Coturnix japonica: one gene and its partner. The protein of the gene in region 2 interacts with the protein of the main gene of each other region in a biochemical or structural test. Links are inferred from orthologs where the notes say so. Each region holds a gene or a part of one and is shown on either strand. Other genes may lie near its edges.

Evidence for each region. The genes of interacting proteins can lie anywhere in the genome.
Region 1: the proteins of CEBPA (region 2) and TRIB1 form a complex in vitro, tested with the Homo sapiens proteins (2 studies listed by BioGRID and IntAct, with this or other methods). The link is inferred for Coturnix japonica from reciprocal best matches to the Homo sapiens genes CEBPA and TRIB1.

What each region holds. Positions count from the first base shown.
Region 1 is NC_029517.1:125,153,280-125,158,607, reverse strand, and holds the start of TRIB1 (tribbles homolog 1), read right to left. Parts: upstream 3,413-5,328; 5' UTR 3,102-3,412; coding exon 2,745-3,101; intron 2,485-2,744; coding exon 2,192-2,484; intron 678-2,191; coding exon 209-677; 3' UTR 1-208. UniProt on the Homo sapiens protein: Adapter protein involved in protein degradation by interacting with COP1 ubiquitin ligase. The COP1-binding motif is masked by autoinhibitory interactions with the protein kinase domain.
Region 2 is NC_029526.1:8,910,711-8,916,249, reverse strand, and holds CEBPA (CCAAT/enhancer-binding protein alpha), read left to right. Parts: upstream 1-1,769; 5' UTR 1,770-2,187; coding exon 2,188-3,162; 3' UTR 3,163-4,297; downstream 4,298-5,539. UniProt on the Homo sapiens protein: Transcription factor that coordinates proliferation arrest and the differentiation of myeloid progenitors, adipocytes, hepatocytes, and cells of the lung and the placenta.

The DNA of each region.
Region 1 (5,328 bases), on a different chromosome or scaffold from region 2:
AGGACCATGCTGCCGGCAGGGCGAGCATCGAGCCTCTGTGTGTGCTCACAGCAGAGATCTGCAGGTCGACGTTCATCTGAAACAAGGTCACTTTTCTGACCATACTGGCACTTTAAGATGCTTTGAGTCTGTAATGTGGAAAAATAAAATAACCAAACCCTACGGAGATGCCAGAGGTGAGAATGGCGAGGTTCTTGAGATATCAGGGTTAGCAGAAGAAGGAACTGATATCGTCATTGTCTCCATGGTATTCTGGAACAATCTGATCAGAAGTCCCTGTCTCCTGGTCTGTATATCCTGGCTCCAGGACCGCCTCGAACCAGGGATGGAGCAGGATCTCCGGGGCTGTAAGTCTCTCGGAGGGCTCCCGCCGCAGGAGGCTGCGGATGAGGCATCGGGCTTTGGGGGAGACGTGGTCAGGAATACAGAACTGTCCGCGGCGGATTTTGGAAAACAGGGTGCTAGGGTCCGAGTCATGGAAGGGATAGCGGCCCACGAGCAGCGTGTACAGCATCACTCCCAAACTCCACACGTCGGCTGACTTCCCCGAGTACGTCCCCGTTGTGTTGAGGATCTCGGGGCTGACGTAGGCAGGACAGCCGTGTTTATCCGACAGCGCGTCGTCCTCGCCCTTGATGATGTGCGTGTCCTCCAGGCTCTCCAGCCTCAGCTGCGTCCTGTGGGGAGCAACAAGGAGAAGCCATGGGTTAGAGACATGTGGCAGCAAGACCAACTGCTCTGCACAGCGACCACCGCTCCCTTCCATGCATTAGCAAAGGAGAGGCGACAACTTCCTAATCTGCACCAGGGATGCTGATCCCAGCCCCAAGTGCAGCTACATGCACGCTCATTTGCTGGGCCGACAGCAAATGCTGGGCTCTCGAGGAACGCCAGCGAGGCTCCTGCTGCCATCCCAGCATTCATTTTCACAACACAAAGCCTGGCTGTTCTGCACTCTCGGCGCTCACCAGCTTGCTCAATCCCTATTTTCTCCCTTTTGCCTTTCCAGGTGGTGCCCTGCTCCCGGTAGTGGCAAACCGGGAGCTTCCCACCAGCAGCCACGGCTCACGTGCCACAGGGATGTGCTAACTGCAGCCTGTCCTCGGCGTGACCTCCCGCTGCAATGCAAAATACCCATCGGTTCTGTAAACGGAAAATGTGACTCAATGCGAACCGTGGGCCCAGGATTGGCCGCGGGAGCACTGAAACTGCACCTGTGCTGGTGAGCCCCAGCGCCCGCCTGCCATTGCTTAACCCTCTTCTTGCCAAACGCAATGCACATGACACTCGCCTGTGCAACGCCAATTTCCAAACGAGCCGGGCTGTGTGCAATGTAACATTTCAACAAATGTTTCATCTCACTAGGGGCGGGAAAAGCTGCAATAGTTTCCTTCAAAGGAATTACTTTCTTTGCATGTCAACATACGGCTGTTTCTGTTTAAGAGGTGCAGTTCTGGTTCGTCGTCTTATCACCTTCACAAACGATATCCCACAGAAGCAGTTAAAAAAGAAAACCAAACACAGCGGTTCCTTCCGTTTCGTCGCATTAAGCACGACCCCATTGCAGCCTGTGCCCATGTTTTGAGCTTCCTACAGCACAGCAGCCACTCAGGGTCAGTTCCCGGGGCTGACACCGCACTCCCAGCCCTGCCACGTGCAGCGCAGTGCACAGAGCAGCCAGCTCTCCAGGGAGACACTGAATGCTTCGCCTCGGTCTAGATTTAGAAGCTGATCCCAGCAGCGTGCCAGCAGATGGGGGAAGCTGGAACCACCTTGCCATAACTCAGGCTTTAGGTTAAGTTCTACCAGTTTTCCCCTCTGCAGGACATTTAACCATGGACCGCCCTCTGTGCCGTGCATGCCCATATCCATGGAGCAGCAGAAGCACTGCCACCAACGCGGAGATGCTGAGCAGCACCGTGCTGCCCTCATTCCCTCCACATCCCATCCCTTCATCCATTTGACCCCAAAACTCATCCATCATCACCAAGACCCAACTGACTCCCTGTGACTGCCTCACTGAACTTCTGCTGGAAGAGGGGAGGCTGATGGAGAGCTCCTCAGCCAAGACCCAACCACAGCCAGCAGGCGCCCCACTGCACACACGGGGCACAGGTCCACCCTGTTCCTGGGATGCTCTTTGCCCTTCTGAACCAGGCTTCCCCCCACCTGCCCGGTGACAGCCGCTCACCTCTCCTCGTTGGAGAAGACAAACTTCCTGAGCTTGAGGTCTCCGAGCACGATGGCCGACTGGTGGCAGTGAGCGACGGCCGCCACGATCTGTCGGAAGAGCCGGGCGGCCTCCTCCTCCCTCAGCCTCTTACAGCTCCGCACGTAGGAGTGCATGTCCCCAAAGTCCTTCTCAAAGAACACGTAGGCCTTGGTGTCCCCGAGGATCACCTCCACCACGCCGGTGATGTTGCAGTGCGAGGGCAGCTGGACGTAGGGCCGGATCTTGTCCTGGTAGTGTTTGAGAGGGAACACCTGCACAAAGGAAACGAGCACAACGTTCGTTCTCGAGGGCGTTGGGAGCGGAATCGCGTCTAGAGACTCTTTGCAAACAATGCCGGGAATGGAGGAGCGCCAGCGCGCTCGGGAGCGGCACCGGGAGCCTCCCCGCGGCTCCGCCGTTCGTTCCGCACGGACGACGGGGAGCACAAGCCAAACCGACGGAAAGCACGAACCGCCCCGAAGCCTTTCGTCCCCTCTCAGCCCCCTCCGAGCCCGCACCGCCCGGCGCTCACCTTGCAGCGGAGCTCCCGGCCGGAGCTGACGCTGAGCGCTCGGGACACCTGCTCGCGCTCGGCCAGCGGCAGCAGCAGGTACGAGGCGATGAGGCTGGGCCCCGCCGTGCCCACATTCCCCGCCGCTCCTCCGCCGGCTGCGGGCGAGACGGGCGCGCAGGGCGAGCCGGGGGCGCTCAGGCAGTCCGGGGTTCCGCCGGGACACTCGGCCAGGCGCGGGCACTTGGCGGCCGGAGCCTCCTCGGCGGGGCCGTCGTGCAGCGGCTGGAGCCGCTTGGCCGGGGCGCTGCGGCAGCGGGCTGCCGGCAGGAGGAGCGCGGCGGCGCGGCGGGGCGGCGGCGGAGCGGGGCGGCTCATGGGGGGCGCGGAGCGGAGCGGGGAGAGGAAGAAGAGGAGGAAGAGGTGATGGTGGAGGGCGAGGTGAAGGAGAAGAAGAAGCGGGGCCGGGGGCTAAGGGCGGGCGGAGCGCGGCTGGCGCATCCCCTCGCTGTCCCCGCCGCAGCCCCGGGCCGTGTCCACCATCTGCTGCCGACTCCGCGCTAAAGTAGTTGGAGGCTTTAAAAAAAAAAAAAAGCAGTTTTCTCCTCCTCCTCCCGGCCCTGACGCACGGGGAAGTGGGAGGAGGGAGCTCGGCCCGGCCCCGCTCCGCTCCGCCCCGCTGTCCGCCCGCCCCGCCGTGCCCCCGAGCTGCACCGTGCGATGCTCCCGGCCGCGCCCGTCGCTCCGGGACGACCCCGACCCCGACCCCGGTTGCGGAGTTCCGGCGGCCCCGCGCTGCTCCCACGAGCGAAAGCGAAAAGCGGAGCCCGGCTCCGTCGCCACGAGGCTCCTCGGGGCGATCAGCCCCCGTGAAACCGCGTCCCCGGCAGCCGGCGAGGGGCAGCTGTAGGGCGGGGAGCCGGAAAGCAAGAGAGAAACGGGCAGCAAAGCGAACAAGGAGCGGGGAGCCGCAGTGTTAGCGCACGGCCGGCTCTTCAGTTCACATCGGTGCCCGTTCCCAGGCGCTCGGCGCTGAGGTTTCCCCGTGCCGCTCCCGCAGGCAGCGCCCGGCGCCGCCGTCAGCGCTCAACGTGTATTTTAAGAAACGCGTGAAACCGTGCTGCTGTGTGAGTCACGGCATAGCAGAGCCATTAATGCGTTTAAACACAAAATGCATCTGCCATAAAGGGATATCCCAGGGGCTGCATTTTCCTTTCTTTGCCTTTATATATATATATATATATTTTTTTTCCTTTACCAAACAATTCGAAGAACGCCTGCAGATTTTTTCGGAGCGATTCACTGCAGCTCGGAACGCGCTGTTGTATTTTGTTCCCCTTATAGGCAAAGCACGCACGGAGCCATCAGCACTTCTGCTCCGTGTTTCCTCTCCTGGAAGGCTGCGTCCCATCAGTGACGTCCCATCAGTGATGAGTCCCATCAGTGATGTGTCCCATCAGTGACGTCCCATTAGTGATCAGTCCCATCAGTGATCAGTCCCATCTGCAGAAACGCTCATTGAGTGTCATTGTACATCAGTGGGTGCCGTTTTTTCTGCATGGAGTTGCTCAGTGACACACCTCTGCTTCACACGCACTTCCATGTCCGATTCCATTCAGCCCCTCTGCTGCCATCTGTCCCATGGCAACAACACAGAACTGAATACTGGTGGGAAGGCTCAACCACTACTGCCCCATCACCAGCATCCACCTCTGACACTGTGGGCCGTTATAAAATAGGAGGCACGACCTTCAGAGCAGCCCTCCTAAAATACACAATATTATTAATCTGTAAATAATAAAACATTTTAATATTTAATATTCCCATATCATCCATTTTGATGACATGAATAAGGTGTGATTGTGAAGCGAGGGATGTTTCTGGTAAGAGGGATTAGGAAACTCTGGCAAAGAGACATGATCAGATCTTCAGGTTCCATATTTGACTGCAGCTCCCTCATTCCACGTATGCCTCCATCTTTGTAGCACGGGACAAGGGGCTTGGTGGTCATTTCTGACCTCAGTGGTTCCGTGATGTTCATTTAAAGCCATTCGCCCTTGTCCTGTCACTACCTAAGTGTTCCCTAAGGGGACTTTGGGCATTGCCGTTCCATTCCCGTGTTACTTAAGGAATTCTTCTCCCATGGCATTCCAGCATCTGTCTTAGGTTTGGCAGTGCCCGCACTGCGAGCTCAGCTGCTCGCCCTGTGATGCGCAGTTATCTGTCTCCACTGCTCCACTTCTCTGACCCTTTATCTCTGTAACTGGAGCAGCCAGCAGCAATGGGAATTGTGTAACCATCACCCCACTTCCCCAGTGCCTGGGACAGGTCTGGTTTTCTGTCAGTGTATCCCATGGGATACGCAGAGGGACCCTGTTGGATTGGGCCATTTATAAATAAACCGGCTGCTTGCTATGGGAAGAAATTAATAAGTCATTGTGTTAGTTATCGGAAGATGCATGACACACCAGTACTTGAGTGAATATTAAACTATCAGGCAAATATTAAACTATCAGAAAAATAAATACCATCGCATTAAGAGCTATTTCAAGACCTCTGATGACATTTACACAACTGCTGGACTTAATGCCAGCAGTGTAAACCC
Region 2 (5,539 bases):
GCTTTGAATTTCTCTTAATGTGTGGTTAGACCTTAATTTTCAGAACGATTCTAAAATGTGAGACTGCAGAGGCCTCAGTATTGTTGTTCAGTGACAAACTGAGTTCTGTGCTCCCGCTGCTGCCCGCAGTGCAGAACCTTTTGCTGTCGCTGTGCATGGCCGGTTCCTGCCCACTGCCTTTAGGGCACGATGTGGCTGTAGGAAGCACGGGCACGGCCAGCACTGGCTCTTGGGCCAGCTGGGTCCTACGGTGTTAGCGAGTCTGGGTCAGCATCTGCCCCTCTTCTGCAAATGGGTTTAATGGAGCAGAGCCTGCAGGATCCACACAGCCAGACGTGGCAGAGGTTGTGGGGCTTCTTTGGAGATATTCAAGACCCATATGGACGCCTACCTATGTGACCTGTATGGAACCTGTGTAGTTGGTTGTATGGGTTGGGCTCTGTGATCTCTTCAGGACCTTCCTGACCCCTGCAGTTCTGTGATGCTGTGATTTCTGCTCACATTGAAGCATCCCAGATTTCTGTCACAGGTCAGGGGATTTTATTCTCTATCAGAACTTTGGAGCTCTTCCATATGGGCACTTTGCTTGATCAGGCAGTGCATACCCTTTGTACCCACTGTTATGTGCTGAAACCAAAGTATATCATAATTTCAGAAGATACCATATATAAAAAGCAGTTAGGATTTATCTTTTCTGTTGACATTGAAAGGTGAAAAGTATGTTCATAAATCATAGATTCTGTGTGTTCTGTATTCTATATGGATGTTTCCCACGAGACACTCACAGCAGGCTGTGCTGGCTGCACCTCACGTCTGTGGCTCACGTGTGTGACCCCAAAGGTGGCTCTTGGTTCGTGGTGGTTTTGTTCCTAAGGCTTTGCCAGTCACTGTGAATTGCAAGGAACTCTGAGCAAGCAGTCTGATATCACAAGCTTCTGGTTCATTCAGCCCTCCAGGACTAAGAAATGTGGCAATTCTTTCTGTAGCCATAGCCATACTGGAGTTTTCTCTGCCGATCTCCCTCGCTCTCCCCTGCTTCACTGCCCTCGGTGCGTCCCTCCTTCCACTGTGCTGCTTTCCGAGCGGCCCGGCCCAGCGGATCTAAGGGCCGGCAGTTGGGGTCGGCAGGTCCGGCTGGACGGGGAGGCGGCAGCTCCGTGCCCCGAATCCGTCCCGTGCAGGGAGCGCGGGTCCCTCGGGCCGCGTGTCTCCCAGCAGCTGCTCGGGCCGGACTCGGAGCTGAGCCCCGGCGTTTCGCCTTCCGAGCGGCACGCTCGGGTTTATCTCGGGTAAACGCCGGGAGCCGGTCCACGCCCGACACAGCCCGAGATTGCGGTGTTTGCATTTGGGGAAATCCGTGATTAAATTTACCTGCCCGATTCGCGCCGCGGGACGGGACGGGACGGAGATGCAGCCCCGTGCGTTCATCCCCCACCGCCCGCGCACGGTGGGAGCCGTGGGACAGCGGCAGCGCGTCCCGGCCCGGCTCTGCCCACGGCCCCGTCCCGCAGCGCCGAGCCCCGCAGCCCCGCCCCGCAGGGCGCGCTCCCGGTCGGGTCCCAGCGCCGCTCGGGGCCGCGCTCCGCGGGTCCCCACGGGGCTCAGCTGGTGAACCCAGCGCGTCGAACCGGGCCGAGCTCCGGTAACTCCGCTGGGACGGCGCCTTGGGCCCCGGGGGCGGGCACCGTGCGCCATCCAGCCCGGCGTAATGGTTCGCGCGTAATGGTGAGCTGCGGGGCTGCTCCCCGGTGGAACGGGATCGGGCGCTGCGGGCTCCGAGCCCCCAGAGCGGGGGGGCGGGCGGAGCACAGGGACCGGGCAGGGCTCGGTGAGAGCGGAGCTCCCGAGGGAGGGCGGACGGCCGGGCCGGGGCGCTAAGACCCGGGGCGCGGTGGTCAGAGGTTCCCAGCAGGACACTAGAGGGCGATCCCCGGCCCTGCTGCGGGGGTGTATATATACGGCACGCAGGACCGAGGCAACCCACTAGGAACGGGACAGGCAGGCAGGCGGCGAGCGGGGCTCGGGCGGGCTGGGGCGGGGGACGGGCTCCGGGCGCGCCGAGCGGAGCCGCTTCGAGCCGAGCCGGGGGAGCGCGGGGTGCTGCGGGCTTGGCAGAGCCGCCGCCGCCCCGTCCGAACCCTGGATTGCCGGAGCCCTTCACCATGCCCGGCAGGCTGTAGGTGCTTCATGGAGCAAGCCAACTTCTACGAGGTCGATTCCCGGCCCCCGATGAGCAGCGGCCAGCACCACCAGCTCCAGACTCCCCTGCCCGGCAGCGCCTACGGCTACAGAGAGGCTCCCTCGGCGGCGGCACCTGCTGCGGGCGGCGCGGAGCTCGGCGACATCTGCGAGAACGAGCACTCCATCGACATCAGCGCCTACATCGACCCCGCCGCCTTCAACGACGAGTTCCTGGCCGACCTCTTCCAGCACAGCAAGCAGCAGGAGAAGCACAAGGCCGTCCTGGCCGGGGATTTCGATTTCCACAGCATGCACGGGGCCGGCGCGGCCGCCTCGGCTCCGGGGCACCACCCGCAGCACCAGCAGCAGCCGCTGTTCGGCTGCGCGGCCGGCTACATGGACGGCAAGCTCGACCCGCTGTACGAGCGCATCGCCGCGCCGGGTCTGCGGCCGCTGGTCATCAAGCAGGAGCCCCGCGAGGAGGAGGAGGTGAAGGCGGCGGCCCTGGCGGCCCTCTACCCGCACCCGCAGCAGCACCCGTCCCACCTGCAGTACCAGATCGCCCACTGCGCTCAGACCACCGTGCACCTGCAGCCCGGGCACCCCACGCCGCCCCCCACGCCCGTGCCCAGCCCGCACCACCCGCACCATCCGCACCCCCCGGGCGCGTTGCCCGCCGCCCCCGGCGCCCTCAAGATGATGCCCGCCGACCACCGCGGCAAATCCAAAAAGACAGTGGACAAGAACAGCAACGAGTACCGAGTGCGCCGGGAGCGCAACAACATCGCGGTGCGCAAGAGCCGGGACAAGGCCAAGCAGCGCAACCTGGAGACGCAGCAGAAGGTGCTGGAGCTCACCACCGACAACGAGCGGCTGCGGAAGCGGGTGGAGCAGCTCAGCCGGGAGCTGGAGACTCTGCGGGGCATCTTCAGGCAGCTGCCCGAGAGCTCGCTGGTGAAGGCCATGGGCAGCTGCGCTTAGCCGGGCCCTCCCGCTGCTCCGGGCGGTCCGAGCGGTGCCGGAGCGGGCTCAGATTGTGGGGGGTGGGCTAGTTTGTTTTCCCTTTTTTTTTTTTTTTTTTGTTTCTTTTTTTTTTCTCCCCGACAATAATGACCAATAAAAGAAGCCAGGCAGCTGTAGTATTACCAGGTCGGTGCCTTAGGGTTGACACACGAATAAGCTGAAAAACGTGGTGGGTTTTGTAAGGAGAAAGGAGAGGGGAAGGAAGAGATTAAACAAAAAAGCCCACGTGTCTACACAGGGTAAATGACAATAATAATAGTAACAGTAATAAAGCACATAGAGCAGCCCAGATGTGCCTTAAAGCTGCCTGCAGGAGGTCCGTGCCCTCAGCCCGCCGAGGAAGGAGCGCGGGGACGTGCGGGCTGCGGGGCCGGAACGGGGACGGCGGCGGATGCGGAACGGCAGCGGAACCGGGACCGTCAGCGGGACGGGACGAGCCGAGCGACGGACATCGGGACCCACGGCCAGCCGGGTTCGCGGACAGCCCGTCCCGGCAGCCGGACAGTAGGGCCGAGGGCGGCCCGGCGGAGCTCCCTGCGCCGACGGGGAGAGCGGCGGCGATTCGTACTGTATGTCACGACATGGCGAAGCACAAGTGAATAAATACCTATCGATGCGGGTATTTACTACGAACTCTCAGCGTATTTTGCTTTCTCCCAGGACATTCAGCTCCTCTCCGCGTCTGTGTCTGCCCAAGCTGTGCCTCATGTAATGTGAAAGCCTTTCCGTGTATACTAGCTACACTATTTTTATCGCGTTACTTAGATCTTTGCCATCACACCACTTTCTTATCTGGTGACAGAGACTATGCCCTCGTGCTGCAACGTTATTTTATTATTTGTGTGGGTGGGTGGGTGAGTGCGAGCTGCGCTGCTGCGGGCGGCCGCGGCCCCGTCCGGCCGGGGGCAGCGGGAGGGCAGCGCGGGTGCGTGCGGGGCGCGTGTGCGGCGTGCGTGTGCGGTGGGAACGTGGACGTATATGCACACATCGGTGTTCTGTTTTTGTTTTTTATAATTCGGGAGGGGACCGCATATACAGTTTTGTCGGATAGTCCTGGTTACATTCATAATAAACAGCATATACTCTGCCATCACCGCCCGCTGCGTGTTCCAGTGCTCGTCCCGGGGCCGGCCGGCTCTGAGCCCCTTTCGGCACCGCGGCCCGGGCCGCCGATCGCTCCCGTTTGCCCCGTTCGTGCGACGCCTTCGGGAGGCGGCGGTGTGTCTGTGTCTGTGTCTGTGTCTGTGTCTGTGTCTGTGTCTGTGTCTGTGTCTGTGTCTGTGCCGCGTGCAGGTGCGATCCCGCCGGGCGCTGCGGGGCCGGGGCGGAGGGAGCGACCGGGTGGGACGCGACGGCGTCGGGACACGCGGAGACGCCGCGCGGCCGCTCGCGGTGCCGGACCCCGCCCCTCCCCCGGGGAGTTTCGCCCCGGCCGGGCACACGGACGCCGCTCCGGGGCTCGACGCGGCACGACCCTCCCCCCTCTCCTTCCCCCCCGGGGTAACGGCTACCACGAGGCACCGGGCAGCTCGACCGCCGGCCCGAAAGGACGACCCCGCCCCGCCTCGGCGCGCCCGGGGTCGGGTTCGGGGCCGCAGCACGAGGGGAGGCGGCTCGAGCGGCAGCTGCGATAGGGCAACAGGGCCCCGCCCGGCGGAGGGAGCGCGGCCGGGTCGGGCCAAGGGGCCGCGCCGCCCGCACCAGGAACGGGGGGAACCCGGGGCGGAAGGACGGCTCCGAGGTGAAGCGACGGCCGGCGGGGTCGTGCAAGGAGCCATCCCACCGCCCAGCGCTTATCGGCGCCGCACGTGGGCGGGGCGGAGCAGCGCTCCGCGGGGACGCGGCGAGGAGCACGCGGTACGGCAGGTGCGAGGCCGGAGGGAGGAGGCCGGGAGTCCGCTGCGATCCCGCTGCGTTGCGGGGCCGTGCGGGCCGAGCCGTCCCGGCGGTACCGAGCGCTCGGTGCTCTGCTCGGCGGGATGCGCTGCGGGCACGGTCCGACTGCGCTGAGCGAAGGTAAGGCCGGGCTACTCCGCGCATCGTGGCGGTAGGGCGTGCGGCGGGATGAAGGAGTTTTACTTTTCGGTTAGATTCACATTAAGACGCATCGCTCGTTGCGAGGGAAGAGCTGAACTTTGCGGCTGCCGGACAGAAATACGGACGTTTGGTTTCTTTCCCCCCCAGCCCCGCAGAGCCGGGCTGCTGCCGGCCACGTGCTGCGCTGTGAGTATCGCGAAAGGTCCGTTACAGGCAGCAGAAGGCAATGGAGGTGCCCGCCTTAACACCGCAACAGTGCCGGCGGTGCTGGCCCGGCAGGGCTGCAGCCGCTAAACGT